3 linked regions of the Elephas maximus indicus genome follow. The protein of the gene in region 2 purifies or fractionates together with the protein of the main gene of each other region. This does not show direct contact. Links are inferred from orthologs where the notes say so. Each region holds a gene or a part of one and is shown on either strand. Other genes may lie near its edges.

Evidence for each region.
Region 1: the proteins of DDX20 (region 2) and STRAP purify together in Homo sapiens (affinity purification with mass spectrometry; 3 studies listed by BioGRID and IntAct, counting the BioPlex papers as one, with this or other methods). This does not show direct contact. The link is inferred for Elephas maximus indicus from reciprocal best matches to the Homo sapiens genes DDX20 and STRAP.
Region 3: the proteins of DDX20 (region 2) and GEMIN5 purify together in Homo sapiens (affinity purification with western blotting; 6 studies listed by BioGRID and IntAct, counting the BioPlex papers as one, with this or other methods). This does not show direct contact. The link is inferred for Elephas maximus indicus from reciprocal best matches to the Homo sapiens genes DDX20 and GEMIN5.

What each region holds. Positions count from the first base shown.
Region 1 is NC_064822.1:74,616,155-74,627,338, reverse strand, and holds the start of STRAP (serine-threonine kinase receptor-associated protein), read right to left. Parts: upstream 4,953-11,184; 5' UTR 4,650-4,952; coding exon 4,538-4,649; intron 3,845-4,537; coding exon 3,709-3,844; intron 1-3,708. UniProt on the Homo sapiens protein: The SMN complex catalyzes the assembly of small nuclear ribonucleoproteins (snRNPs), the building blocks of the spliceosome, and thereby plays an important role in the splicing of cellular pre-mRNAs.
Region 2 is NC_064821.1:169,129,668-169,139,920, forward strand, and holds the start of DDX20 (probable ATP-dependent RNA helicase DDX20), read right to left. Parts: upstream 3,997-10,253; 5' UTR 3,818-3,996; coding exon 3,517-3,817; intron 3,068-3,516; coding exon 2,973-3,067; intron 990-2,972; coding exon 821-989; intron 237-820; coding exon 122-236; intron 12-121; coding exon 1-11.
Region 3 is NC_064820.1:171,079,427-171,089,615, forward strand, and holds the start of GEMIN5 (gem-associated protein 5), read right to left. Parts: upstream 4,311-10,189; 5' UTR 4,232-4,310; coding exon 4,066-4,231; intron 3,256-4,065; coding exon 3,095-3,255; intron 1,738-3,094; coding exon 1,556-1,737; intron 1-1,555. Other genes in the region: MRPL22 (39S ribosomal protein L22, mitochondrial), read left to right, coding at 6,260-6,287, 6,370-6,418. UniProt on the Homo sapiens protein: The SMN complex catalyzes the assembly of small nuclear ribonucleoproteins (snRNPs), the building blocks of the spliceosome, and thereby plays an important role in the splicing of cellular pre-mRNAs.

The sequences.
Region 1 (11,184 bases), on a different chromosome or scaffold from region 2:
GCCCCATAGGGTTTCCAAGGCTGCAATCTTTACAGTAGCAGATTCCCGCATCTTCCTCCTGCAGAGTGGCTCTTGGGTTCAAACTGCCAACACTTCAGTTAATAACCAAGAGTGTAAAAAACCCTATCTATGGAGCAGCTCTACTCTGACACACAGGGTCACTATGAGTAGAAACTGACTCACCAGCACCTACCAACAAACTGGGAGAAAATAAATTTCTGTTCGTTAAAGCCATCCACTTGCGGTTTTTCTGTTATAAATCCAAAAAACCAAACACACTGCCATCGAGTCGATCCCAACTCATAGTGACCCTACAGGACAAAGTAGAACTGCACCATTAGGTTTCCAAGGCTGTAAATCTTTATGGAAGCAGGATGCCACATCTTTCTCCTGCGAAGCGGCTGATGGGTTTGAACCGCCGATCCTCAGTTAGCAGCTGAGTGCTTAACCACTGTGCCAGCAGGGGTAATTAAGACAAAAGCATACACGTTCATAGGAAACAAAGCACTGTTTATGCCTGGGAAGTCCAAAAAAACCTCACTGGATTTTTGTTATTGTTGTGTGTCACCAGTTAATTCTAATCATAGTGATTCTATAGGACAGAATTTCACCGGGGAAAAAGGGAAAGGCTATTATACACAAGTATTAATAGTATGCACAATGGTAAAGAAATATAAAAAGCCATCTAACAGGAATAAACACAGGTAGTCCCCTACTTATCCTCGTTTTTGTACCTCTTATTGTTAGTAATATGTACTACATACAATGTTGCAGATTGTATTTGTAACTTTATATGTAATGTTTCCCACCTCAAAGGCAAAGATCAGATTTACAAAGATATTAATAAAAATAATAATAAAAACTAAAAAAAAAACAAGGTAATCAACTTAGATAAGAACCCACTTATGAAGGAGTATTGGAACTGAACCCCATCATAAGTCGGGCACTATTCACGCTCATATTACTGACAACAAACCTTACATATTATACACTTGTGTCATGAGAAGCTGAATAAATATGCTTTGAGGGAAATAATGTCAACCATGAGTAGCACTGCTATTAAACTCCCAAGCTTTCATTTCTTCCTTGCACAGGAAACCTGTTCTGCTCTCTCCCATTCCCAACTCAACTTTGTAGCATGACATTGTCTGAGAGAACATATTCTAATCACATGGACTAATTCTGGCATATTTTCATTATTCACAATAAAACCCACAATCCACAAAAAGAATACTAAAAAGAGCTTAAATTTGGAATAATCTACAAGTTTTCTAATATATTATTCAATCAACAGGCAGGTGACTGACATTAACTAGCTCAGGGCTCAAAGCAAGACAGTGAGGCATCAATATCTTTTTATCAGCTAATCCTACAGCATTCATTTTCTGCACAACTCAAAGTACTTGGCATCTTCATAAACTACTGATGCCTCTTATATTCCCAGTTTCTTAAACGTAATATGAACATTGTCCTTTCAACACTTTTCATCTCCTAAGAATGGTGACAAAATGGTTAAAGCTCTTGGCTGCCAACCAAAAGGTTGGTGGTTCGAACCTAAGCCGCTCCGTGGGAGAAATACGTGGCAGTCTGCTTCTGTAAAGATTTACAGCCTTAGAAACCCTATGGGGCAGTTCCACTCTGTCCTATAGGGTCGCTATGTATTGGAATCAACTCGATGGCAGTGGTAAGAATGGACTCACCACAAGTTTCAAAAAAATAACTGCTTAGCTTAACCATTTAAAGTACTGACAAAACAAATTATTGTATTTCTGGGGGTGGGGAGCTTGCCTAACCATCCTAGCAAGTTGGTTAGTCATTAAGAAGAGTATAATATCATTTCTGATTTATCAATAATCTTATTAAGAGAAAAGTTAGGTCTTTCTATCGGCTTTTAAAAGAAAGAAAAAGTGATAAAAAATTTGTATTACATGTAGGCTCCTGGGCCCTACCCCAGATCTACTTAACCACTATCTGGACCACAGCATAGGCACACTCCCCAGATAATTTTGATAGGAGGAAAATTGGAGATGCAGAGAGAGATGATGCAAAATAATTACAACTTTATAAATTAAAAGAGATAAAGAGGATGGTGTTTCTGGGACAATGTACCCATCGGTGTACTTACTCTGACTCATAGCGAATGGATTCCAACTCACAGCGACCCTGCAGGACAGAGTAGAACTGCCCTGTAGGGTTTTTCCAAGGCTGTAAATTTATAGAAGCAGATTGCCACATCTTTCTGCCTCAGAGCAGCTGGTGGGTTCAAACCACCGACCTTTTGTTTTGCAGCTCAGCGCTTTAACCACCGCACCACCAGGGCTCTTCCCACTATATCACATCTAAAAGCCTTCACTGGAAAAAAAAAAAAAATTCTTGACACCTAAATCTTAAACTTCCTTGCATGAAACCAGCCATACACTGTAGTATACAATTTTGGTCTTGTGGGGGTGGTAATTAACAGTGGTGGTGGTAGCTGTCACTGTTACCTTACATATGCAACACTTACAGAGTAGCTATTATTACATTTCAGGCAATGTGCTAAGTATTTTATACATAGTAACTCCTTTAATATTCATAGCTAAACTGAGAACTAAGTACTATTATTCTTGTTTTTTACACATGATAAAATTGAAAAAGAGATTAAATAAAGTACCCAAGGTTACAGAGCTATAAACCAATAACAACTGCATTCAAATCGAGTCAATCTGGCTCCAGAGTCCATGCTCTTAATACCTCTTATAACAGAGACACTGAGACATTCTGATAGACAACACAGAACAACTCTGAATACCCAGCCACAGATGTCTTCAAACATGTGATTCTATTTAGTCCACAATGTTCTGTAAGTGATCTAAACAAAGACAATTGGTTCACCCATGCCAATTAAGTCAGGATTTCTGGAACCCAGGCATATTTGATTATTTTTAAAACTCCCCAGGTTATTCTAATGTATAGCCAAAGTCATGAACCACTGAAGTAGACAAATGGAAAGACAGAAGAGCTCATTAGGTAGAGAAGTGACGTAACATTTGTTTTTAGGAAGACAACTGGCAGGAGTATGGAACATGAGCTAGGAGAGAGAGGCTAGTGGGAGTTAAAAATGGCCCTGAACTAAAGGGACTGGCAGAAGCATGGAGAAACACTGTAGTCTGGAGACACTCTCCAGGCAGAATCAACAAAGAAGATGATAACCAGGACGTGGATGTTAAGGGAGAATCAAGAATTATTTAGATCTCAACCTTAAAAAACCTAGGAAATAAAAGAAGTTCTGTTTGGAACATAATGAGTTTCAAAAACGTCCAAAAGCATAGAAAAACTGAGGCTGAGAGTAAAAGCAGGGCTAAAAACCTGGGGTCACCAGCATGTAGAAGACATAGGAGCAGATGATACTCAAGGAGCACATGTGGAGCAGCATTTCTAAACCAAGACCACCAATATTCATTATCTGGAGTGCTTCTTAATAACGCAAATTTCTGAGTCCCAATCCAGACATAAAATAAGACACTTAAGCCTCTAAAAATGTTGAGAATCATTAATGTAAAGAAAAAAAGACTCAAGGATGGAATTTTGGTGTGATCCACAACATTATACGTTCAATATGACAGGCACTAAGTCGGAATTTGCTAAACAAACGAGGATGAACTTTTTGATTATTTCAGAACACAATCCACAGAGAAGTCCAAAGACTGTTACTTTGGCTACACTTACGCTGTGAAATCTGCAGCTGCTGTAGCTGCTTTGGTGGCATCCTTATTCAATGTTGCACCCCAAACAGCACCCTTATGACCCAAAAATGTTCCAATCCAGTCTCCTGTATCTCCCTGGCGTAGCATAGGTTTACCATCTAGAAGACATTTTAAAAGACATGTGATTTACAAGTTGAAGTTACTTAGAATCTAATAGTCAAAACATAATAACGACGTTGAATAGCAACATGGAAAACCCACTCACTGGAGTCACTAAGGAATGTCTAGAAATAAATTAACTGAAGAGGAGAGCTGGTAGTTCTCTCTGGGAAGCAACTGTAATTCTGTGGGAAGAATACAGATCTGCGTCAAAACAATCTAAATTTTATTATATATTCTGGACAAACTTCTTAACCTAAATCTCAGTTTCCTATCTCAAAAATGGGGCTAATACCATACAGGAATATCCAATGAGATAACTGGAGCGAAAACCTTTGAGAAATATAAATATAAGGTATTGCTCGACTTGGCCTAGTAACGAACAGCCTGGCCTAGTTTCTCCTCTCCCCAAAACTTCTAAAAATATTTACAGTGCTTGCTCCAGGGGCGACTAGGCAAGTGTACAGTCTAGCTTCTCCAGAAACAGCAAATAAAATAAAATAAAATGAGAGACCTTAGTCGGGAGCAATATTTAGCCCAAAAAGAGGCGTCAGAAATGGGTGTTTCGGTTTCCCCATCAGTCCAGGCTTAGCCCTCACCTCAAAGGCTGTGCTCCCCGCGACCCTTTCGGCACTGGGGGGTAACCGCCCAGTTCTGGCCGTCGAGTACCCGAAATCAGCGGCCTTGCTCACCTTTGCAAGCGCTGATTAAGAAATAGCCATAAGGCGTGATGCCGCTGAAGGCCAAATCAACCACCGGTCGCGTGTGGCCCGAGCAGGTGAGCGGTGTCTGCCTCAATGCCATGGCGGCGGCGCGCTGAGCGGTTGGGCTGGTCAGCCGAGGGTCTCGTCTTTTCTCTCCTCAGCTGCGGCGCCTCTGGCTCCTCAAGGCCCCCGGCCTGGCACTGAGACTGGGCCGGGAAACAGGAAAAGAAGGCCAAACCGGTTGTACCGAAGTCAGGCGGGGATTAGGGAGGCGGCATGGAGAACGCAACCGGCGAGCGACTGTTCCCGAGGGAGGGACAGGGAGGGAGGGAGGAAAAAAGGGGAGGGGGGGAACCGGAGTATCCGCCGGCCACGACCCGCACCGTCCACACCGGTAGCAGCAGGAAGTGACGACAGGAATGGCGCAAAGCGTCCGCCGGAAGTGACGGCCCAGCAAGAAAGCGGGTACGCGAGGTGGAAGAGGCCTAAGGAAGGCAAGGGTTCAGTGTACGCTGAGCACGTGATGCCGACCCGCGGAGGTCTCCCAGCCAGTGTCTCTAGCGCCCGGTCCGGACTTGCCTAGAGCGCCTTTGCTAGGAATTGCGTTGCTGTCCCAACGAGAATTCGTTGGGTCTCCGAACTGTTCTCCCTGCCCGCAGACCTGGGACCCGGAGGCAGCTGTGGATTACGCACCGACTAATCCAACCAGTGGGACTGTGCTTTTGCATCCAAACAACTGGACAGATCGGAGCTGTTCCCAATAATAGGCAAAACCAGCAAATACCGTCTTTTTTTTTTTAATTTTTCTTATTTAAAACTACGTGGAAAGCTTCTCAAAGCGTTGTCTACAAGTAAGCCTCTTTAAAAAAGTAATTTCCTCAGCGATGCCTTCTGCAGTGTGACTTTCTTGTATTGCTAGTGTTTTAGATAGGAATGTTATGTGGCTTTAAATACAGTTGAATTCAAATTTGGACTTGGACTGTAGAGCAGTAGTCCCCAAACTTGCTTGATGAAATACCATGAGCCCTGTAAATACGTATATAATAATTTATAAATTTCTTAAGTATACATTATAATAGACGAAAATAGAAGTTAATAAAAGAATCTAAAAACTAAATATAAAAAAAGGCTGGTATTGTCTTCCTGCAGGCAGCTCACTTTGGGGATCACTGTTCAGCAGCGGTAACAACAAAAACAAAATGAGCAGTTTTTGGAAAATTGTCAGTAGAGGAAGGGAAAACCATTCTCAATGTCTTAGATACAAACGTATATTCTTTTGTGTATCTAAGGATATAACCAAAATAATGCGCAATAAAATAGGGAGAAGAATCGAAGAGAATATACTTACACTGTTCTTGCACAAATGACAGACTAATAGAGTGGCCATAATTTAAAAGTGGTACAGGATCTTTGCATAGAAAATTTTGTTATTTTTAAGTAGAAGAAGGGAAACAAATGTATGACAGAAAATTGCTGGAAAAAAACATAAAATGTTTAGGTAAAAATTTCTCTACACTCTTAAAAAATTTAACAGAACATGAACTCTTTAGAGCAAGAGACCAAAAAACATGATGTGAAAAAAATGGAGATGCAAACTCAGTCGGCAGAGTTAAGAAAAGTAACAGAAGTTAAAAGAAAAAAAAAATCATTATACATATCTGAAGCAGTAAGAGAATAGACTCCAAAGAGTCAATGAAAATGGAAAAAGGGAACCCTGATTAAGACAATAATGCTATATATTTTACCTCTTAAGAGTGTGGAGGAAAAGATATAACTCAGTTAAAAAAGGCAAATGAAACTAGCCAGCTATGCCTGAGTCTCTTTTTGGCCCACTCAGGGTCTCCTTATCTTTCTGAGAATATGGGTGCCCAGCTGGGCATTGTGAATTGTATGTTGAGACTCTTGATTCGGTTATGATCCTATTAAAAGTATTTATCTCACTGTATATTTTTTTAGCAAGAAACTCCAAACTCTGTCATTTCAGCAGTGGGCAGCAGCAGAAATCTTTTATAAAGCCTTTTAGCCTTAGCTGGCTGTTTGATGTCTGCACCATGCATGCAGGGGTAATCCGAAAGTTGGGCAGCGTTTATACACAGTATTTTGAGCACCCTTCCTCTGAAAATCTCTTTTCCAGGATTTGCCTCTTCTCTACCTAACTTCTGTGATCCCCTTGAACTCAGTCCTCTGATTCATTAAACCAATAATAGTGAAGGTTTTCTGACTTTCAACCATTATGTTTGGCAATGTACTGAGGCCTGACCGCAGGCCAAAAGTCATAAAAATGTGAAAATTACCCAGCGCCCTTTTCTTCTTCCAAAGGTACGTTCTGCTTTAGGGTCTGCCTGCTTTTAGTTGCTGTTCAGTGCCTTCAAGTATTGTTTTTATACTTTGTCCTGAGTTTATAATTGTTTCCTGCAGGAGGTAGTCTGTTAGGAGCTATTCCTCCATTAACAGAAGATAATTTTTTTTTCTTTTAATTAAATGATACAAAGTTATTCAGAAAGAATAAATTTACGAAAGTGTTACCTGATTGGGGTCCATGCCTGGGAGCAATCAAACCAGTGAAGGGTTCTCCAGGTCAGAAAAAGAAAGATTATTAGGAGGTGACATCAGTGGGGAGTCCGGCAGCAATGCAGGCTGCCTTTATGGAGTCCCAAAAAGCAGTTTTTACATCAGAGCTTAAATACAGTTTTTGTAAGGATTACATAATGTTCTCAAGCACGTAGCCCACAGATGGTTGGTTGAGTATACATCACAACTACAAGAAACTCTTTATTAAGATATGTATGTGGGACATCTGGACTCTAATCTGTATGTTTGTAACAGGCAAAAAAAAAAAAACATAAAAAAATCTCTCCACTAGTGGAACTGGCCTGCCAAGTTTAGGCTGACCAAGATAAGGAGCAAGAAAGAAAGTTGCAGACCAAAAGTACCAGGCAGCCTTCCTAGCTGCAGTCTTGCAGGCTGAAGGCCATCTCCCAAGAGGACAAAGAAGAGGAGGGAGACTAAGGCTGCAAGAGCTGAGAAAGCCTTGCATTGCTTTGGAAAGAGACCAGGGCAGCTGGTGCAGTAAAAAAAAAAAAAACTTATAGGTTACTTAGAATATCATCGTGTTAGTTACGTCAGGCTCTCAATCGCCCATTTTGAAAAGGAGAAAACATATTGCAAGGTGTTAGGGTCACAAAAGTAGCAAGGAATTTTCTGTGGCGATTAGTCTTTTTGGACAGAAACATGTATAGCTAAATAATACCAATATATAATAATAAGACATGGGAGTGGCTCAGGAGTAAATGCACAGGTCAGTGAGTGTGGAGACTATAAACAGACAAAAGTTCATCTAGAAATTTAGTAAATGCGAAGTGTGGAATTTTAAGTCAGGGATATATGCTAATATGACAATGGGCTAGTAATTAAAAAAAAATTAAGTTGGATCATTTTTTTTTTAACCACATTTGGAATTTTGGGTGGTACAAAGAGTTAACATGCATGGATGCTAACTGAAAGGTTGAAGGTTCAAGTCCACCCAGAGGCACCTCAGAGGAAATGCCTGGCAATCTACTTCCAAGAAATCAGCCACTGAAAACGCTATGGAGCACAGTTCTACTCTGACACACATGCGGTCGCCATGAGTTAGTGTAGACTCAGTGGCAACTGGTAAAGCACATTTAATTAATCCAGTGTACCAAATTCTTCACCGTCACCAATTTATACAAACCATCCATTATCTTTGTCCTAAATTACATAATAACCTCCTAACTGGTTTTCTGGGTCTGCTGTCATTCCTGTTCAATTCATTCTCTAAGCAGCAGCTGGAGCTATCTTTTTAAAAAATAAATTTAATCCTGTCATCTCTTGCTCTCAATTGCCCTAAGGATAAAGTCCAAAATACTGGCTGTAAGGTCCTGATAATATTCATCATTGTCTTCTGTCACTCACCTTTGCCTATTTTTCCCATCTTTCTGTCCCTCGAACTTGCCCAATATTTTCCCAACACAAGGTGATCTTGTCTGGATCCCTTATTCTTCACTTGATTGATTATGTCTCATTGTCTCCTTTAAATGTCACTTTCTCAGAAAAGTTGGAACCCTGGTGGCACAGTGGTTAAGAGCTCGGGCTGCTAACCGAAAGGTCAGCAGTTCATATCCACCAGCCACTCCTTGGAAACCCTATGGAGCAGTTCTGCTGTGTCCTGTGGGCCACTGTGAGTCGGAATTGACTCAACAACGTTTTGTTTGCTTGTTTTCAGGAAAAGTCTTCTCTGTACCTTCCCCCTCTCAGACTAGGTTAGACTTTCACTTTTTTTTTTTTTAAATACCCAAACCAGTCAATAGAGAAATAGTCCAAGGGGTTGAACAGGCGGGTGCTGAACAAATGACAGAAATACAAACAGCCAATAAACATCATTTCCTACCTCTCTTTTTGAAGCTTGATATACTCCTGCCACACTGGCCTTACTCAGTTCTTTGCACCAAGTTTGTTCCTGCTTTGGGGTCTTTGCTTTTGTTGTTCCTCCTGTAGGAAATGTTACTTCTCCAGATAGGACTGGTTCCTTCTTGTTTTTTAGACCTCATTTCAAATGTCACCTCCTCAAGCACATTCAAAGGTAGCCTGCCAGTCTCTTATCACATGAGCCTGTTTTATTTGTATAACGCTTTACATTACTTAATAGTTACTTCGTTATTTATTCAATTACTACTTTCTGCCTTCCACAAGAAATATGTGACCTCCATGACAGCAATGATCTTTTGACATGAATGAACTAACCATATGAATGAATATACCTGACTCATAGCGACCCTTCAGGATGGAATAGAACTGCCCTATAGGGTTTCTAAGGCCGTAATCTTCATGGAAGCAGGCTGCCACATCTTTCTCATGTGGAGGAGTGACCGGTAGGTTCGAACCAGCAAACTCTCTTTTTGCAGCTGTCTTAGTTATCTAGTGCTGCCACAACAGAAATACCACAAATGGATGTCTTCAACAAACCGAAGCCCATTCTCTCACACTCCAGTGGGCTAGAAGTCCAAACTCAGGGTGTCAGCTCCAGGGGAAGGCCTTCTTTCTCTGTTGGCTCTGGAGGAAGGTCATTTCCATCAATCTCCCCCTGGCCTAGGAGCTTCTCCAAGCAGGAATCCCAGGTCCAAAGGACACACTATGCTCCCAGCCCTGCCCTCCTGGTGGTATGTGGTCCCCCAACTCTCTGCTTTCTTCCCTTTCCTTTTATCTAAGATAAAAGGTGGTACAGGCCACACCCCAGGGAAACTCCCTTTACATTGGATCAGGGATGTGACCTGAGCAAGGGTGTTACATTCCATCCTAATCCTCTTTAACCACAGGCAAAGCTTATGATTTATAACACTTAGGAAAATTACAAAATGTGGGCCAACTACTCCATACTGGAAATCATGGCCTAACCAACCTCATACATATTTTGGGGGACTCAATTCAATCCATGACAGCAACCAAGCACTTAAATGCTGCACCACCAGGGCTCCTTCTGAATGAATATAGCTATACCATTCCTCTCTTTCCGTACTTTAAGCACATGTGCTAAGAAGTATAGCATGTGTGAATCACATGAACAAATGAATGGATGGATGTGTCTTCCTTCCTAAACCTTAAGGGCATGTGGCTAAGAAGTATCCCATTCATGAGCCTTGCAGGCATCAAGAAAATAACCAGTTCTGTAAATTTTGAATGGGTTCTGAAAAACCTCTGTCAATATCAGGATAAATACCTCTGAAGATATTAATATTTGGGTGGCAGTAGAGTTGGGCTATGGGAACTTAACTTTCTGTTAAATCTTGAGTACTTTAAACTATAGTTAATATCCTCTGTCTTTGGATATTTACTTCAAATCTGTCTGGTGAGTGGTATTTGATGCAATATGCCTGAGAAATGTGCTCTAAGATTTAGAATAAATAAAAAATAACCTGTTGTCCCTCCACAAGAACATTTCAGTACTTTCCAAACTATTTTCTTTATATTCTATTCAGGAGTTATATTAGATTTGAATGCTTATTCCATCATAGTTCATTTAAATTAATACATTTCTAAATTTTCTCAAGGAATAATTAACACATTGTTTTAAGTCTTATTAAGTTTCAGATGGATTCAGTACTTTTTTTCTTTAATGCCTGGTGAATGTTGTAATCCTCCTTACTGGAGAACACTACCACTCTTTTGGAGGAGAGAAATTAATAGTCCAAAATGAAAATTGAACTAAGCTATTTTATTCTAAGAGACTGAGAAAATCAAATAATTATTAGAAATAAAACGTGTATATCATTTTCAGTGATCCAGAACCAACTGCCATTGAGTTTAATTCTGACTCATAGCAACCCTATAGGCAGAGTAGAATTGCCTCATGAGGGTTCCAGGGCTGTAATCTTTATAGAAGGAGACTGCCGCATCTTTCTTCCAAGGAGTAGCTGATAGGTTCAAACCGCTGACCATTTGGTTAGCAGCCAGATCTCTTAATCACTGCGCCACCAGGGTGCCTCCATTAAAAAAAAAAATAAATCCCTTAAAATAAACTCAGAATACTTGTCTTGGTTATCTAGTACTGCTATAACAGAAATACCACAGTGGATGGCTTCAACAAAGAGAAATTTATTCTCTCACAGTCTAGGAAG
Region 2 (10,253 bases):
AATAAATCCAACTGGAAAATAGAAGAAAAACACCACTGAAATTATTCAAACCGTAATCACCACATGGAAAAGTTCAAGATAGGTAACTTTGGAGTGCCACTTTAATAGTCATTTTTCTTACTTTATTTGCTCCTGAAAGCTGCCTTCTTCTAAAAGTTTATCTGCTTCATCAAGAATAAAAAGACGTACACTGGCTGGGTGCAGGTACTCAAGTTCTATGAGTTGTTTAATTCTGCCTAAATTTCAGAAAAAACACACGTGGAAATATTTATGATGCATCAAACTGGCGTAAATCTTAGCCAAATCTGTTAATCCATTCAGGCTGTACTGCTAAAATTTCCTGACCCAAATCTCATAAATGCATTTACACACGAATTTGAAATCTTAAGTTCTGATCTTGCCTCAATCCATTTATTTTTCCTCCCATTTCATCACTAATATGCATGGAAAAGTAACACCATCCTGCCAAGACCTGAATGCTAAGGTACTGAATGCTAGATTCTGAGTAATCCACAATCGAATGGTTAATAAAGAAGTCAAACGATAATCCGAATCCAAGGCTTAGAAGAGCCTCCTGGAGGGTACCTCATCCCTCCTCTCCTCAGAAACCTACCCCTTATGTTCTTAAATATCTGTAGGGAAGATTTCATAAATGCTATTGGTAATCCAGCCATGTGTCTGTATCTCATCGGTCTAATGCTCTTCAAATGTAATCCCAAAATAATGATCACAGTCATCAAGACTCCCATATCCTTACTGTTATATTAAAAATGTTCAGTTCTTTAAAAGCCCCAGATATCAACAGGCTTTGACATCTCACCAGGAGATCCAACGGCAATGTGACACTTTTTAAGTCTGGTTTTGTCTTGTGATAATGGAGTGCCTCCAATAAAGACATGACACTCTAAGCCTTCCATTTTGATTCCAATGGCCATGATAACAGAATGTATCTGTACAGCAATTTCTCTTGTAGGAGCCAAAATCAAAATCTAAAAAAAAACATAAAATATACCTTTAACAAGTCAGGGAATAAATACATATGACTGGCACATTAATTATATGACAAACTACTACATAACCATTTAAAATGATGATTGAGTTTTTACTGGCAAAGGAAAACATTCCATTCATCCATTTACATATTCATTCAGCAAATATTAAATGAGAACCCACTAAGTGCTAGATGACATACTGATGCAAAAAAGCCAAACCCGTTGCCGTCAAGTCAATTCCTACTTATGGTAACCTCACGTACGTGTTCTAGAGTAGAAGTGCTTCATAAGGTTTTCTTGGCTGTAATCGTTATGGAAGCAGATCACCAGGCCTCTGGTCTGCGGCACCACTAGGTGGGTTTGAACCATCAACCTTTAGATTAGCAGCCAGGCAAAAACTGTTTGTACCATCCAACATACTAATTGCTAGGAGATCACAGTTAACAGTATAAAGCCCTTGACCTCATGATACTTTCATTCTAGTATGATAAGATGGTATATAATAAACATATATAAATAATGGCAGGTAATAAAAAGTGCTACGAAGAAAAATCCAACAGCAAAAGGGATGGAGTCATTTTCATGGAGTAGTCAAGGAAGCCCCCTCTCTGAAGCTGACATTTGAGCAGAGATGTGAATATACAGCAGAGTAGAGCTGGCTGTGTGACACCTGAGCAAGAGTTTTCAGGAACAGGGCAGCAAATGCAAAGGCCTAAAGATGAGAGTGTTCTTGGTGTGTTTGTAAAATGGCAAGGAGGCCATGTGGCTGGACAGAATTGGGGGAAATGGAGCGGACGACAGAGATCTAGCTCCAGGGGGCTAGATCATGAAAGGTTTTGTGAGCCACGGTGAAAACTCTGCCATATAACTACTGAAAAAGGAGAAGGTTAAATTACATGTTCTCAATTATGAGAAGGAAAAAAATGCTTACAAATAAAAAGGACTAGAAGAAAATATGCCAAAACTGTTAACAGCAGTTTCTCTCTGGGTAGGTGAGATTATACATTTTGTTTCCTGGTATTTCTGCTAAATTTTCCCAACTTTCCATAAATGCCCATGTATAGCTTTGATGCAAAAAATTATGTTATATAATTTTGATAATACAAAGACCTTAAATTTTAAAAAAGAATCTTATTTATGGAAATTATGCACAGTTTTGACACTTAACCTGCTGCCAGAGTGCTCACTTTCAGCAGCCAAAATGGCAAATACACCTTAGTCCACAAGTAGAAAAGCCCAGGTCATTGGGTAGTAGAAGGATTTCCTATGAGTAGCATCAACCAGGATTCAGTAGGTAAAAGGTAAGACTCAAAAAGCTTCCCGGATAATGTATATATGAGTATCCCTGGTTAAAAACAACCGTATTAAAGGATCATCATCCTCAGATATACATAACTGAAAATATGAAATAAAGTCTGTCATAACTGCTATGCCACAAACTAAGGATGCCATCTGCTGCACCTTTGTATCCCCAGTGCCTGACATACTGTTTATACATACTATGGGCTCAACAAATCTTTGTTGAAGAAATGACCGCACCTCCATGCCAAGCCTGAATTGTCTGTTAATTTGAGTAAAGCGGTCTTAGAACTATTCTAAGAAAATCCAGAAGATGGGAGATCAAGATGATAGATTCACAGATCTTTAAGAACCACCTGGCGTTACCACCAATTATAGCCAGAGCATCACATCACCATGAATCAAATCAAACGCTAAGTCTCGCCTTGCTGCAATCTAGTCAGCAAGTAAAAGAACAATGAATCCTTGTCTGTAGTCTTATGTCACGTCAAAACCGACACTCATGGTTGGCTTACTCTGTTTATGATGTGGTAATAATATTCCAAACTTCAAAGACCAATAAGGTATCCTTGGTAACCATCCACACCAGCACCACTCAGCAGCCTTAACGTCTCCTTTACTTTCATAATTTACATACGGTTTAACTCAATCATTCATCTGAGTCCTCGGAGCTAAACTCACCTGGGTACTTAAGTTTTCAAGAACAAGAGAGTCCAAAGCAATGGTGGAGAATACACAGGTTTTCCCAGTGCCTGACTTAGCTTGAACAATTAAATCTGAGAAGGAAAAATCAACAAATTGTCACCAGCAAGTACTAACTGAAGGAGCTTAGATACCAACATGAAATGGGAGAACTGGAAAGGGTCTCCACAGATAACCTAGCTGGGACCTGCCATTTTCAGTTTACCATCAAAAATGCACGAGGCCATATTCAGAGCCATCCCAGGTGTGTCTGAACCTCTACCACTGTTTAGCCTCTCAAGCTCAGAATCACGAGCCAGCGCTGGAAAGGGCTCTAGCTATCTTCAAATGCAAAATCTCCCCTTTTGTTTTACAAAAGGGGAAACTGAGGCTCGAAGGCGTGCGGCACCTAGCCCAAGGCCGAGCCCTGCCCAGGCGGCCGACCTGGTGCTCCTTCCCGGTCCTCGCCGCGGGCCCAGCTGCTGCCGCCCCTCGGGCCCCCCTCCTCGGCCCCGTCCGGCCTCCCCTGGGCCCCCGCCCTCACCGAGACCGCAGCGCCCCAGCGGGATGGCCTTGAGCTGCACCGGGGAGGGCCGCTCGAAGCCGGCCGCCCGCAGGCCCTCCAGCACCGGCCGCGACAGCAGCAACGACTCGAAATCCGCCGGCTCAGCCAGCAGCACGTCCCCTGTGCGGGTCCGCGGGCCGCCGATGTCGTGAGCCGTCCGCAGGCTGCGCGCCGGCCCGGGGGCGGGCTCCGGAGCCGGGACAGGCGCGGTCACACGCTCCTCCGGTAAAGCCGTCTCCACGGGAGCCGAGGCCGCAGGGGCCTCAAGCGCCGCCGCCATGGTACACGCGCCACCAAATCTCGCGGTACTTGAGAAGAGGCGGGGAGCATGAGAGCGAGGAAAGAGAAAACGTTATTGGCAGTCTTCCAGTGACGACAGTAACACGCCCGGCCTTGGACAGAAGAGGAGGGATGGAAGCCGGAGGCTGGGAAAGACTCAGGAACGACAACAGAAAAATGTGGCCTGAGGAAGGCGGGAAGTGAGAGGAGAGAGAAGATGAGGCTACCGGTGTGTCGCTGCCTTCGGCCTGCAGAGGGCGCCACGTGCTCACGGTGGGGGCGCCGTCCCTCCTCCCGGCTTCTTCTGGGTGGGTCCGCCCAGTCCCGACCGAGTGCAGCCACCCGCACAGCCCTGTCTTTGTGATGCGTCCGGTGCGTCACACCTCGCCGCCTCTGAGCCTCCGCTGGCTGTTCGGTCAGCCTGAATCCCGCTCCGCCGTCATCTTTTCCCGAGCCCTCCCAACTCGCTGTTTTCTCTGTGTTCGCAGAGAGCGCTCGAGGTTTAACAAGACTTCGGGATTTTTTTTTTTTTTATGGTGTATGTCTGCCTGCAGAATGGCTTTGTTCATCCTTGGGTCCCCAGCTCCTGACACGGTACCTGGCACGTGGTGAACTCTAATAAAGGAAATTGAATTGGAACCAGGAGCTGGAATTGAATATTGAATTGATGACCCTGACAATTGCCAAACCTCAAACCTCTCTCTAAACTCGTCTTATATTTTCATCCATCTGCCTCATCAACATTTCTACTTTAGATGTCTAGTACCTGGTTGCCGTGGAGTCAATTCTAGGCATCTCAAATTTAACATGTTTTCTTTGTATGTCTTGCTCCTCCGTCATGAGTGGGCAACTAGCGGTCTTTATGGCTTTCTTTAATTTAGGTCTCTGCTCAAATACCACCTTTTCAAAGAAGTCCCCCACCCCTGCCTTTTCCGTCACTATATTCCCTTGTTCTGCTCTAATTTTTTATAGGACGTATTATATATAATTGTATTATTGTTGTTGTTAGGTGGCGTCAAGTTGGTTCTGACTCATAGTGACCCTATGCACAACAAAATGAAACACTGCCCTGTCCTGAGCCATCCTTACAGTCGTTCTTATGCTTGAGTTCATTGTTGAACCCACTGTGTCAATCCACCTCTTTGAGGGTCTTCCTCTCTTCTGCTGATCCTGTACTCTGCCAAGCATGATGTCCTTCTCCAGGGACTGATCCCTCCTGACAACATGTCCGAAGTGTGTAAGACACAGTCTCGCCATCCTTGCTTCTAAGGAGCATTCTGGCTGTACTTCTTTTGAGACAGATTTATTCATTCTTTTGGCAGTCCATGGTATATTCAATGTTCTTCGCCAACACCACAATTCAAAGGCATCAATTCTTCTTCGGTCTTCCTTACTCATTGTCCAGCTTTCACATGCATATAATGTGATTGAAAATACCATGGCTTGGGTCAGGCACACCTTTGTTTTCAGGGTGACATCTTTGCTCTTCAACACTTTAAAGAGGTCCTTTGCACCAGATTTACCCAATGCAATGCGTCTTTTGATTCTTGACTGCTGCTTCCATGGCTGTTGATTGTGGATCCAAGTAAAATGAAATCCTTGACAAGTTCAATCTTTTCTCTGTCTATCATGATGTTGCTCATTGGTCCAGTTGTGAGGATTTTTGTTTTCTTTATGTTGAGGTGCAATCCATACTGAAGGCTGTGGTCCTTGATCTTCATTAGTAAGTGCTTCAAGTCCTCTTCACTTTGAGCAAGCAAGGTTGTGTCATCTGCATAAGGCAGGTTGTTAATGAGTCTTCCTCCAATCCCGATGCCCTGTTCTTCTTCATATACTCCAACTTCTGGTATTATTTGCTCAGCATACAGATTAAATAGGTATGGTGGAAGAATATAACCCTGACGCACACCTTGCCTGACTTTAAACCAATCCGTATCCCCTTGTTCTGTCTAAACAACTGCCTCTTGATCTATGTAAAGGTTCCTCACGAGCACAATTAAGCGTTCTGGAATTCCCATTCTTCCCAATGTTGTCCACAGTTTGTTATGACCCACACAGTCAATGCCTTTACATAGTCAATAAAACACAGGTAAACATCCTTCTGGTATTCTCTGCTTTCAGCCAGGATCCATCTGACATCAGCAATGATATCCCTGGTTCCACATCCTCTTCCGAAACCGGCCTAAACTTCTGGCAGTTCCCCGTCGATATACTGCCGCAGACGTTTTTGAATGACCTTCAGCAAAATTTTACTTGCATGTGATATTAATGATGTTGTTCTATAATTTCCACATTCAGTTGGATCACCTTTCTCGGGAATAGGCATGAATATGGATCTCTTCCAGTCAGTTGGCCAGGAAGCTGTCTTCCATATTTCTTGGCATAGACGACTGAGCACCTTCAGCACTGCATCCATTTGTTGAAACATCTCAACTGATATTCCATCAATTCCTGGAGCCTTGTTTTTCGCCAATGCCTTCAGAGCAGCTTGGACTTCTTCCTTCAGTACCATCGGTTCCTGATCATATGCCACCTCTTGAAATGGTTGAACATCGACTAATTCTTTTTGGTATAATGACTCGGTATTCCTTCCATCTTCTTTTGATGCTTCCTGCATCATTTAATATTTTCCCCATGGAATCCTTCACTATTGCAACTTGAGGCTTGAATTTTTTCTTCAGTTCTTTCAGCTTGAGAAACACCAAGCGTGTTCTTACCTTTTGGTTTTCCATCTCCAGCTCTTTGCACACGTCATTATAATACTTTATTTTGTCTTCTCAAGATGCCCTTTGAAATCTTCAGTTCTTTCACTTCATCCATTCTTCCTTTTGCTTTAGCTGCTTGACACTCAAGAACAAGTTTCAGAGTCTCCTTTGACATCCATCTCAGTCTCTTCTTTCTTTCCTGTCTTTTCAATGTATTTATATATTTATGTATTTTCTGTCTCCCCTACTTCATGAGGACAGGAAGCTTTTTTGTCTGGTTCTCTGGTCTATCCCTAGTGGGAAAAAGAGAATCCGACACATAGTAAGTACTCAATAAATATTTATTGAGAGAATGAGTGCCTATAACAAAGACTTAGTCACAATTCCAAACTTATTTTCTGAAAACCTATCTTACAATTTCGAACTTAAAGCTATTCTGCGTCCAACACCAAACTTTTCCTTTGTCCTTAGATCATAATCCTGGTCATTATCTCCCACTTACACACACAGACAAACACACACACACACACACACACATACACAGTGGTTCCAGATTCCAAACAATGTGCCTCTTCGGCATGGTAATCCCACTGGAAAGGAGTCCTGCTTAGAAATTTACAAAACCTTGAGAAAATGTCAACTGTCCATAGGAAAGAAGGAGAACTGATGATGAGGGGTGCATTAAACCCCCAGGCATCCTATTAGGACCCCCACCTTTTTCAGCCACCTAATCCTCCAAGTCACACCTTCTACTATCCCTCCCCTCTTTGTAACAATTCACTGACTGGAGGTAATTATGGCTCCAAATATTTCTTCCATTCCTCTTCTCCAGTCCCCGTAGCATCTGCCGTGTTTTAGGCCCCTTCACCATCCTGAACTATTGCAATAACCTCCTGAATGGTCTCCTGCCAGAATTTCTTCTCTATCTTGGCCATCCACCCGCATCTGCTGGAATGAGCTTTCTTAAATAGATTATCCTTGGTTGCTTTAAACCAGCTTCAGGCCTTGCTTCTTTTGACACCCTTATTTATTCCCCACCCCAGGCTCCCACCTCACACTGTAAATAATTCTTGTCCAGCTCTTACCATATTGTATTTACTTGTTTACATGCCTGTCCCTCCTACTAAACTATGATCTTCTCAATGACAGGAATGTTGTCACCCTAGGCTCTCTCCAGCCCAGTATGAGGCACCTGGTAAACCTAATAAATATTGCATGGCTGACACTTTCTTGCTCAAAAAGTCTCTACCGGGTCCCCATGTGCACAGCAGCAGTTCTACAGAACTTGGACCAATCACTGTCAAAGAACCTGGCTCTCATCCCGAGAGAAACAAAAATACTACTTTTCCAGAAAAGGGCATTCATAGTTTTATAGGCATTCTCTTATTGCATTTGTTATTTATGGTGTTTTACTGACACGAATATTGCAGTAATGTTATTGGGAGTACATTTTATTGCTATGGCTAAAAACACAAATCAATAAAATTTTTCCCTCAATGGTTAAAAAGAATAACAATATTGTTGACCACAATTTCAGGGCTGTAAAGATAAAACAAAGAGAGATCACTTAATAACTAGGAAAGGTGTAAGAGAAAAACACATGGAAACTGAACACTAGTGTGGACTATGTCTGCATCTCAGCACCCACAAGATAAAGTCCAATCAGACCTCAGCCTCTTTTCGGGCCAGGAAGCCCACCTACCTCCTCCAAACAGACCAAACTACATCAATTCCTTAATGCTCATGGCTTGTCACAGCTCAGAACCTTGGTGCTGCTCCGTCTACCTGGAAAGCCTCGCCCACTTTATATATCCAGGAGCTCCTACTCCCCTTCAAGTCAGCGGAGGCCAGTGGAAGGAGAGATCCCTGTGAACTGAAGAAGTAAGAGTGAGACTTGAGCTCAGAATGAATGTTGGGGTTCAAATGGTCATGTCCAGTCATTTTGCAGCAAAGGCTGCTGAGCCCAGAGGGAAGGAAAACAATGTAGTGGATGTAAGGGGGCCACCCTGGGCATGAGGATCAGTGGGGGCATGTAGAAAGAAGAAAATGAAACTATAGTTAGACATTCACTTTATCTCATATGACCCTCAAAGCAACAAAAAGGAGGCAATTGTTATCCGCATTCAATCCACAAGCATCACTTTATTCATTCTTTCAACAAAATTCTTCTGAATGCCTAAAGGGAATCACCCAAGTGCTGGAGATACAAAAATAGAACCAAATAAAAAGAGTGCTTGGCCTCAAGGAGAAAGACGCACACAAACAGGTGGTTACATTCACTGCAAAGTGTAGGGGGCCGCTGAAGTCAAAGAGGGCCACTTAACCCAGAAGGGGGCCAAGAAGGGTTTAGCAGTCAAGACTAGGTCTGAAGGAAAATAAGACCTCAGAATGACAGTGGCTTGACCAAGATAGAATTTATTTTGTCCTTGTAGAGAGATCTGGAGGTAGGATTGATATAACAGCTCTGGTCCACAAAGTTCCCAAGGACCCAGTTTCCACTTCCCTGGTTCCCACATGATTGCTCTAGCTCCCTGTCTGGTTTCCAGTCATCACAAAGAAGGAAGGGTCAAAATCAAAAGCAGAGAGACCATCATGCCAGCAGTCTCCTAAGGAAGGGACCAAAAAGCTGCTACACTCCTACTTGGCATCTCATTGCCAGAACTTAGCCACAGAGTCATGCCTACGGGCAAGAAAATCTGGGAATTGCCATCATTTTTCTGGGTTGTCCATGCCCAGCTAAACAGGGGAAAACAGGGAGTTCTATTACATACAAGAAAGGAAAGGACATTGGGGACAACTAACAGTCTCTGCCACATCTTCCCAGCATTAGTGAGAGCTAAGGTAAGACATAAAAATAAATAGGAGTCAACCTCCTGACCAAAAAAAAAAAAGAAGTTGCTGTTGAGTTGAAATCAACTCAATGGCAACCCCATGTGTGCAGAATAGAACTGTTCCACAGGGCTTTCAAGGCTGTGACCTTTTGGAAGCAGATCACCAGGCTTTCCTTCCGAGGCACCTCTGGGCGGATTTGAAACACTAGCCTTTCAGTTAGTAGCTGGGCACTTAACCATTTGCACCACCCACGGACTCCTACTAGCCTTGTGACAAGAGAGGGAAAAGTGGGGGGTCTGTAGATGAGGAAGGTCATAGCACATTCAGGGGACTAAAAGAGCTTAGACTGTAAATGGGAGAGTGAGCTATGATGAGGCAGGAGAGGTAAGCTTCAGTCCACGTTACTGTGTCTGGATTTTACCCTAAATGCCTTCTGTGTGTCAGGTGCTGAACAAGAAAGACACTCCCCTCGAGTAGCTCCTCAAGGCAAGAATAACTAATTGGCTGAAGGTCACAGAGCTCATAAATGCAGTTGGAGCTCAGATCTATCTGACAGCAAAGTCCAGGTTTCTTCTATCCCCTGTGCTAAAAAAGTTGACAATGTAGCTGAGAAAATGAGCAAGCATGAAATATGCAAGTAGCACCAACCGGTGTAAGATCATATGACATTTTTCAGGCTTTAGTTGCTCCAAGTGTGGGAGAGAGTGAGAACTTCTAAGATGTTGAGGGAAAAAGCTTTTGGTCTTGGGACAGCAATAGTTTTCTTTCCTACATCCTTCTCGCCCCCACCCAAGACAGCAGCACCAGGAGATAGAGCTCAAGTCCTGAGAAGCAGTGGGGTGGATTTTCTGAGTTGGTCTTCAAGGATGATGAGTAAGGAGGTCAACAGACAGTGGGGTT
Region 3 (10,189 bases), on a different chromosome or scaffold from region 2:
ATCCTCTGAAAACAAACCATTCTGTTCAAGTCTCCAAGGTTCCCTCTGCCTTGAAGTTCCTTCTCTTCTTATGAACTGCTGCTCTTTTAAGGCTCAGCCTGATTTCAAGCTTCTCATCCTCTGATCCCTGCCTACTACCCTTTCTGCTCACTCTCTCTAATATCCCTACTGTACCAATCCTTCCACTTCATGGAGACCTCAGATCTACCACTCTTGACATTTTCACTACTGCCCACCCTCATCTGTCCTCCCATCCTTCCTCTGATGCAGCACAGATCCCAGGATCCATCATTATAATTGCTCCTTTGAAAACACCCTTAGGTCCCTTGTCTCCTCTCCCCTGGGGGTATTATACCCCATAAAACCCCGAACCTGGTTGAATTAAACCACGTTCTTTTTCAACCAGCTTGAGCAGTTTCAGTTTATGACCCTGATCTTTAAGCTTGGTACTCAACAGTGACCACAGGACCTACGATTTTCCCTAATAAGTTCACATTCTCATTCTCTGAGAAAACTGTTTTCATATCTTCTTCCCACCCATAACCTGACTGGCTTCATCACTGACTTATGCCTTGCTGAGAACATCAGAAGCCATCACAGTGGAACAAACTCTCAAGGCTTCCTACCAAATCTAAAAACCTACTTGCACCTGATCCACATTCTCAGCTGTTCTTTGTACTTGGGACTTGGGTTCAATCCTTGTAACTTCCTAACAGTTTCCCTCTTGGCATTTACCACCTCTTACTTCTGCAACAAGCTCTCTCTCTTTTGCCTCACTTCCATCAGCATGAAGACATGCCCTTGGTATCTTCCATCTAATACCCCATATACTTCCTCTGGCTTTATGTCTATGCACATTTTCTCCGCAAACTTTGTGAAAAGTTATCTCCATGTTTATCTCTACTACCTTACCCCCAGTGTTTTAAACTCACTCCGATCAGACTTTTTGTACCAAAAGGCTAGTGAAATTGTTCATGTCAAGTCTTCAAAGTTGAGTGAATGGACATCTTTGGGAGAGAAGTATGTGGAATGGGGAAGGAAAGGAATTGCTGTTCTTTCAAGGCTCAGCCTGATGCAAGCTTCTCGACCTCTGACCCCTGCCTACTACATGAAACAAACCGGGTGACCAACGGGGAGACAGGTCCCAATGCTAGTCACTTATCCAAGCTAGAAGGAGAATTCAGAACTAGAGAGACAGATCGAGTTATCTGACACTTTGGGAGTAAACGTTATATCCAAGGGCAAGTACAGAGGAAGGAAAAAGGTCAAAGAGGACATTTCCTACAAATAGAGGCTGACAGAGGGTCAGATATGAAGAATGAGCAAAGTACAGTATCATGTAAACCAAGGGAACAGAAACAAAGAGAGGGAGTGGAAGAGACAGTAAGGACCTGGAGATCACAGGAAGAAATGATGCCAAGGGCTCACGGGAGCAGCTAAATCATCTCCTTGTAAATTATCTCCCTGAATGAGGAGAAATGGGAGAAGGTAAAGTAAATGTAACATATTACCATGAACAAAAATAAATTATCAATACAGGTGGTACAGTACTCACCCAATGGCTACTAAATCTTCATGATGAGGTGAACAAGTAAGACAGAAAATTGTCCTGGGTTCAGTAAAGAGGTGCTGGCTGTCATTTCTGTTAAGCCAGTAACAGAAAATGACCCCTTTTTCATCCCCAGATACTATCAAGTCCTTTACTCGAGGAGACCAATGCAATGCTGATATTGTATGCTATAAAACAAAAAATGTTTGGTTTTTCATTTGCCAATGCTAAATTTTTGCTTAATTTTTAACCTGTATCACACACTGGCGTAACGTTAGGCACATTATAGGTACTTAACGAATGCTTGTTAGCATTAGTTATATAAAACCCAAAACGAAACCCATTGCCATGGAGTCGATTCTGACTCATAGTGACCCTATAGAACAGAGTAGAGCTGCCCCACAGAGTTTCCAAGGAATGCCTGGTAGATTTAACTGCCAACCTTTTGGTCAGCAGCTGTAGTACTTAACCACTACACCACCAGGGTTTCCAAATAGCAAGCCTATATTAACAAATGATAGGAAAATGTAGTCTATTTGGGACTAAAGAATCATGTCTAAAAAAACCATTTCTTCTTTTTATAGCTTACATGTAAAGTTCTTAATAAGAGAGTCTTTTCCTTTCCTCTGTTTGCTCAAAAGACAGGCATGTCAGGTAATCATTTGGTTTAGAAACCAGTTTCACTCGCTCACTTACAGCTTGTATCAGAGATTGGCAAATCTTATAATGTAAAGGGCCAGATAATAAATATTTTAGGCTCTGTGGGCCATACTATCTCTACTGCAAACAACTCATTGCCGTTGAGTTGATTCTGACTTATAGTGACCCTATAGGGCAGAGTAGAATTGCCCCATTGGGTTTCCATGGAGGGGCTAGTGGATTTGAACTATCGATCTCTTGGTTAACAGCCGAGCTCTTAACCACTGCTCCACCAGGGCTCCTGGGGTACTCAATTTTGCTGTTGTAGCATGAAAGTACTCAAAGACAATACTTAAACAAATAGGTGTGGCTGTGTTCCAATGAAACTATGTGCTGAAACAGTGTTGTTGTTGTTAGGTGCCACAGAGTTGGTTCCGACTCACAGCGACCCTACAGGACAGAGCAGGGTCGCTACGACCAGGTAGGGGGTAATTTACCAATCTCTGGCTTATATGCATTGCTTTTCAAAAAAGTTTAGAGGCACCTTACGCTATGTTCTTGTTGGGTGTTATACAGTGACTTCTAACTCATACTGACCCCATGTAAGCAAGCAGAACTGCCCCGTAGGGTTTCCTAGGCTGAAACCTTTACAGGAGCAGATCACCAGGCCTTTTCTCCCCTGGAGCAGGAGCTGGTAGGTTTGAACCTCTAACCTTTCTGTTAGCAGCTGAGTGCTTAACAACTGCATCACCAGGTTTCCTGACTTTACACTGTAGAGCTTCTGATCTAATAACGGATATATTTATAAAAACTGCCTTGTACAAATGAGCTAACAAAATTGCTTGAAACGAAAGAACCCTCAGCACAGATACAAAATGAGTCTGAGAAATCATTAAGCCACAGTACCTGATGGAGTGCATGTTCTGTCACAACTGTTTTCGTCTCTACATCCCAGATTTTCACAGTCCCATCGTCAGAGCTGGTGGCACAGAGGTTGTATTGACCCGGGTGATGGGAAAACGTGAAGCCAGAGACTCTTTCGGTGTGTCCCACCAACTCCCCTATGACTTCAAGCAAAACCAGACTGCAGGTTAATGAAAGCGCTGCCCATGATTCCAGGCAGAATCACACTGTTGTTGGCTGATGAGTGAGCAGATGCTTTGGAGTTTCCTAGCCCATGGTGTAACAAAAGGATCTCACTCACAAGCAGAAACCCCAAGTTCTGGTGTTGGCTCTGCCATGTGATTTCAAACAAATCATTTTATCTCACTGAGTGTGCCTTCTCAACTATAAAATGTTCAAAATACATTGCTGTACCTAGTTCACAGGTTGAAAAGCAGCACACATAAGAATGTAAAAGCGATTTTTATTTAGATCTGGTCAGGGACCGTCTGAAATAGAATACGTGGCAGGTCATATCCCAAGGCACCAGCAAAACCTAGTTTGGAACCTGGGTGCATCTGGCTCAACTCATTCGTTTTACAGAAACAAGGATCACGTATTTGCAGGATCGTTTTTACGGCCTGCAGTTACAGGCAGCCCGCAATCCCAGGAAGGCTTCCAGAGGGCCCGCGAGTGGGCGTGGGGGGCGTAAATGTTATAAAAACTCAGGTCAAGACAGTGCTAATTTCCCAGTAAGTAAGCGGTCCCACGTGTGAGCGCCAGGAGGGCGGGACCGCCGGGCCACAGCGTGGTGCAGCTCACTCTTGGAGACTCGGACGCAGCTCAGATGAGTGACCGTGGGCAAACTCCTCTCCCTGCCTGAGCCTCAGTTTCCCTATCTGTAGAAAGAGAGGCGGCCGAATACTCCCACTCGGCGACCACAGAGAGCCCAGTGGGAAGGGCAAGAAGGTCTGGGCCCAGACGTGGGCAGTTACCTCGAAACGGGGGCGTCCCATGGCTTGCGCCTGCGCCCGGGCCCACGCGGACTAGGAAGACCGAGGTCCGCGCCGCGAAGCCGAAAAGACCCCCGGGTACGGCGTCGCTGCAGCGGGCGCAGTACCAGTTGGGGGACGGAGGCAGCGTCCGCGGTTCTTGCCCCATGTCCGCGGGCCGCCTAAGATGAGAGGAGCAGCCAGAGGCGCAGCCAGAGGCGCAGGTCGTTCGGGGCACGCCGGAGCCAGGAAGGGGGCGGGGCGGGGGCGGGGCCGGCTTCGAGCCCCGCCTCCCCAGGTCTGCCACTACGGGGCGCGCCGAGGCCCAGGCCGCACGGAGCGCTCTGCTCCCGGCGCCTCAGGGTTGCGAAGGACGAGGCAGCGCTTGCTGCGCTTTGCGTGCTAACCCCGCACGCAGCCTCAGCCAGAGCCTAGCCCTGGGGTTAGACATTCTTACTCCCCAAAGCAAAACCACGTAATTAAGGGATTAGATTGGTGGAGTCATCCACTCACACTGTGAGTTCATTCTTTGGACCTGTTTAATCGCTATCCTGTCAAATGTTTCCTTTGAACGCTGTGTACCGGGGCATTTTGCTAGCTCTGGAGATTCTTTAAAGAAATCTGCGGAAGCCAAGAAGACTCTGGGTGGTGCAAACGGTTAACACTCTGGGCCACTAACTGAAAGATTGGAGGTTAGAGTCCTCCCAGTGGTTCATTGGTAAAAAAGCCTGGGAATCTACTGAAAAATCTGCTACTGAAAACCCTGTGGAGCACAATTCTGATCTGACACACGTACGGTCGCCATAAATTTGAATTGACTTGGCAGCAACTGGTATATACAAGATGCCAATTAGCAAAAAAAGATAAAAGGAGAAATAGTAAAAAAATAAAAAAAGGGGGGAAGGAACAGTTTCTGCAGCTAGGTGGAAATCCTGGCTCTGGGTTTTTGGTTTTCAAAGATTAAAGAGAAGCAGAATGGAGTGACTCTTGATTCACTTGATTGAGTGCCAACTCTGAGAAGGGAACTATGTGTTAAGTACTGTGGAGAAAAAAGAGTGAAAATTCCTTTCCAACTCAAAACATGCAAAAATGCTCAGATTTTACACTTAAACTCGTCTTGCTTGTTTGCGTTGGAAATCTGCACTTATGTATACTAGCAAACTGAAAGCTGAAAATATCTATCCTTAATATGGAGAGGGCACACATACACAAAGATGTGAATAGGGTCACTAACTTTGTAGGCACCCAGCCATAGATTGTCCACTGGTTTTGCCAGTTGTTAGTGGAAAGAAGTTAACCCACCCTGAACCCATCCTAAATCAGTTTCTTCATATGAGCAGAGAAGATGATAATCCATAACTTGAACTGATGTTCGGAATAAACGAGATTTAGTGCAGTGCCTGGTGAGCATACCCACAAAAAAACCCCAGGGCCGTCGAGTTGATTCCGACTCATAGCGACCCTGTAGGACAGAGTAGAACTGCCCCATAGAGTTTCCCAGGAGCATATATGGTAATAAATGCTCGATGAAATATTAACTCATCCCTTGGTCGGAGCCTTGATGGCACAGAGGTTAAGAGCTTGGCTGCTAACCAAAAGGTCGGCAGTTCAAATCCATCAACTGCTCCTTGGAAACCCTGCGGGGCAGTTCTCCTCTGTCGTACAGAGTCGCTATGAGTCAGAATCAACTCGATGGCAATAAAATTTCATGGGTATCTCTTGGTGGTCAACTTGGAGATTCACAGGGATAAGGACATCATACTTCGTATTTGAATGGCTTGCTCTTTTAAAAGTGCATTCATACCATCTCTAGTGATCTTTACAACAAGCTTGTGTCGTAGGGATAGCTATTTCTGACTATATTTTACTGACGAGAAAACTGAGGCCCACACGGGTTAGGTGACTTATTCATGGACCGTTTCCCTAATCCTTTCATTTGTGAGGTGAGGCTTCCCAAATTTTCTGGGTTTCTGCGAATTTATGGAAACTCACTGGTTTTCGGCCTTTATTAAGTCATTCGTTCTCAAGCACGGTTGGCCTAAACACCGTTTAGGCAACAGCAGCGTGTTCGCGGTCTCCATGACAACACCGCGGCTGTAGGTACGCTGGATCTCCGCAGAGGAAACCCAGAGTATTGCGCATGTGCTAGTCCTGGCGGCGTGTGGACTCGGAGGCTTCCGTAGAGAGACGGAGAAAGATGGCGGCCGCAGTGCTGCAGCAGTTGGGTAAGGGTTTTTTGGTGGTTAGTAGGCAGAGGAAGGGAGCTGAGATGGGAGTCTGAATTTACGGATTGTGTTGGTGTTGCAGGTGCGTTATGGATGCAGAATCTGAGGAGCCAGGGCAAGCTCGCCTTGGGGTAAGTGTCTCGCCTCGGCGTTGCAGAAGTGTCCGAGGCCTCCATTCTATTCTATGATTCAATTACTGAGCTCGTATGTGCCAGGCTTAGGTTCTGGGGCTACAGAGTCGAACAAGACAGCTAGAATCCCTGCTTTGTCACCCCATTTTCCCGCGGGCGTATCTCTTAGCCCTGCAGGTATCAGAATTATCCATTACTCTCTTTTTATTTCAAGGACCACTGCAAATGTCTTTTCTGGACAGCATCCTCTGGCCTTTCTGGACGCGGTTAGACTTTTCCACCTCCATGTGGAACTGTTCAACTTTTTTAGTTACTTCTCTATTTAGTTGCTTACATGGAGAAAGACCGTGTTTTAGCCGTAGTTTATCTTGTGTTTGACATAGGCTAAAGACTTTATGTGACATTATCGCGTACGATTTTCATAGTAATAACGAGTACTGGTGATTGCCATTTTTTTAAACAAGGAAATTGAAACCCCCAAATGTGAAATAATTTGCTCAAAGTCATCCACTTATAGGAAATTGTGACGCTTTAAACTATATTCTCCAAAGCATTCTTTGGCTTTAGGACAAAAGCATTTTTTAAGATTAGGAAATGTAATTGAGTCAGGACTGGCAAGAGTTCTTTCCCTTCCCCTTTTCATTATCTCTTTTCTGCAGTATATCTTTTGTTATTTGGAGATAGATAATCTGATTATAAGTTTCAGATCAATATATTTGTTAGCATTTATTTTATAGTAAGTAGCTTAGTTCATAGGCTTCGGAGACAGATTGTTGTGAATCCACTTTTTAACTGATTTTGGAAAATTTACTTATTTCTAAGCTTTATTAATACCTACCTCATAGAATTTTTGTGAGACTTAAATGAGATAATGCATATGAAGTGTTTAGCACAATGCATGACATGTAAATAAGCCCACCTTAAATCTCAACTGCCATCATTGTTTTTATCACTACAAATTATTATTGAGTTCTTATTTAGCTGTGTCTTAGGTTCTTGGGTCAGGGGGATGAAGAGGTGGGCTAAAGAAGGATGTAGAAAGTGCCGGCCCTTAGGCTTTGTCTGCACTTTGCTTTCTTACGTTATATTCTATTGTTCTGCCCCCAGCCACGCTGATTTACTTACTTTTTCTGACTATGCTGTGCATTCATTTGCTTCTTGGCTTTGTTCATGCTGTGTCCTCCATTCTTGTTAATAACTGCAGTTTTACTCATTATTTAAACCCCTGTTCAGATGTTTCCCATTCAGGAGGTGTTTTCAGATCTGATTAAAATGGAAAGATACTGATTTCTCCTTCCACTTAGTGTGTGTACCATGCATAGTGGCCTTATGTATATGTATCCATGCCCTTTACTAGCTTGTGTGTCCTAAAGAAGTAGGGACCAACACGGGATCTTGCACAAAGTAGATATTTTGTTAATGTTTGTTGATTTAAGTTGCCTTGCACTGACTTTTGAGGAGCCCTGGTGGAGCAGTGGTTAAAGTGCTCAACTGCTAACCGAAAGTTGGTGGTTTGAACCCACCAGTTGCTCTGGGGGAGAAAGATGTGGCAGCTTGCTTCCATAAAGATTACAGCCTTTCGAAACCCTATGGGTTCCAAACTGTGCTATGTCCTGAAGAGTCAGAATCAACTTGACAGTAAGGGGTTTGGTTTGGTTTGGCACTGACTTACTAGGAAATTCTGGGCAAGTAACTTAAGCAGTTTGGCTTTAATCTTTTCATCCGTGTCACCTAAACAATAGCAAATCTGACACTCTTGTTTAATTATCTAGCAGATATGACACTCGATAATTTCTAAGGCTCTTTCCAGTTCTCAATGTATATAATTTTATGAGTCCCCATTCTCGACTTTTTAATGGGGAAGACAGGCTATGACCATACGAAAACTTAGCATGAAAACTATAAATAATGCTCATAATAACAATGTGAAATCTTTAAAAAAAAATTTATTTTGTTGTTGTTGAGAATATACACAGCAAAACATACACCAATTCAACAGTTTCTATGTGTACCATTCAGTTACACTGATTACATTCTCAGAGTTGTACAACCATTCTCACCCTCATTTTTCGAGTTTCTCTCCCATTAACATAAACTCACAGCCCCAAAGGTTTCTATCTTATCTTTCAAGTTGCTCTTGTCTGTTTGACTTCATATAGGTGGTTCTTAAAAGAGCATAATGCTCAAGGCAGACATTCTTTACTAGTTAAGCTGAACTATTGTTTAGTTTTAAGAAGACTTCAGGGAATATTTTTGGTTTAAGGTTTAACGATTATCTCAGGGCAGTAGTTTGAGGGGTTTATTCAGCCTTCATGGCTCCAGAAAGTCTGGAGTCCATCAGAGTTTGAAATTCTGTTCTACATTTTCCCCCTTTTGATCAGGATTCTTCTACAGAATCTTTGATTGACCATGTAAAATCTTAGAGATCATCTAATTCAGTGACTGGAAATGCAATTGTGTAGAGGGGCCAGACAGCATAAATGAGTGAACTAGGAAAAGTAGTCAGTGTAAAATAGAGGGAGTGGAGGGCCCGTGGCAGTCAGGGGGCATTCCTCACCTAAAGACATTGAATTGGGTTAAGAAAAAATGCCACTGACCAAATAAAACTTTTCTGCAGGCTATATTTGGTACGAGACCGACAATTTTCAACCTTTGAATGCCAAGTCTCATATTTTACCGATGGATGCATTGGAGAAGTTTGTGACTTACTGAAGGTTACACAGTTAAAACATGGCGGGGTCTAGGATCGGAACAGAAATTTTCTGTCTTTAAGTAGTGGTTTATCAATCATGGAATGGATGGAGTGATGGGCCCAGAAGGGGTTTGTCAGAGGAGTGGTTTTAGGAGAGGTGATTTTAGGAGTAAGGAGAGTATGTTTAGGAGTAAGAGAGTACATTTTGGTGGTTTAGAAGTAGAATGGCTACGGTAAAAGTTTGAAGGTGCTAATGACTAATTTGGGGCCCTGGTGGCAAAATAGTCGCGTTTGGCTGCTAACCAAAAGGTCAGTAGTTTGAATCCACCAGCCGCTCCTTGGAAGCCCTGTGGGGCATCTACTCTGTCCTGTAAGATCACTATGAGTCAGAATCAACTCAACAGCAATGGGTTTTAATGACCAATTTGTACTTAGGTTAAAATTCTCCACAAGAAAAGCCATGTTGGAAATGTCATGAATTAGCTGTTTAGTGAAAAAATGATGAGGACAGTTTGATATATTTGAATAAATACTGGTCTGCAGAAGGACATCGTGCTTGGAAGAGGTCAGCGAAAGAGGAAGACCCTCAATGAGATGAATTGACACGGTGGCTGAAGCATAACAACGATTGTGAGGATGGCAGAGGGCCAGGCAACATTTTGTTGTATTATACATAAGGTCGCGGAGTCAGAACCAACTCGATGGTACCTGACAACAGCAACAGCGGAAGATAGAATTGAATTTCAGCCCTGACTCTGCCGGGAACAAATGTGGCCTTGAGCAATTTGCTTAAATTCTCTGAGGCTCCGTTTCCATATCTCAAAAAAATGAGGAAAAAAAAAAGATACCATCCATTTTACAGAAACTCTGGCGGGCCTAGTGGTTAACAGCTATGGCTGCTAACCAAAAGGCTGGCAGTTTGAATCCACCAGGTGCTTCTTGGAAACTTTATGGGGCAGTTCTACTCTGTTCTATAGGATTGCTATGAGTTGGATTTGACTTAACAGCAATGGGTTTTATCCACTTTATAGGATAGTTGTGAGGATTAAGAGGCCTAATAGGTAAAATGCCCATTAGTA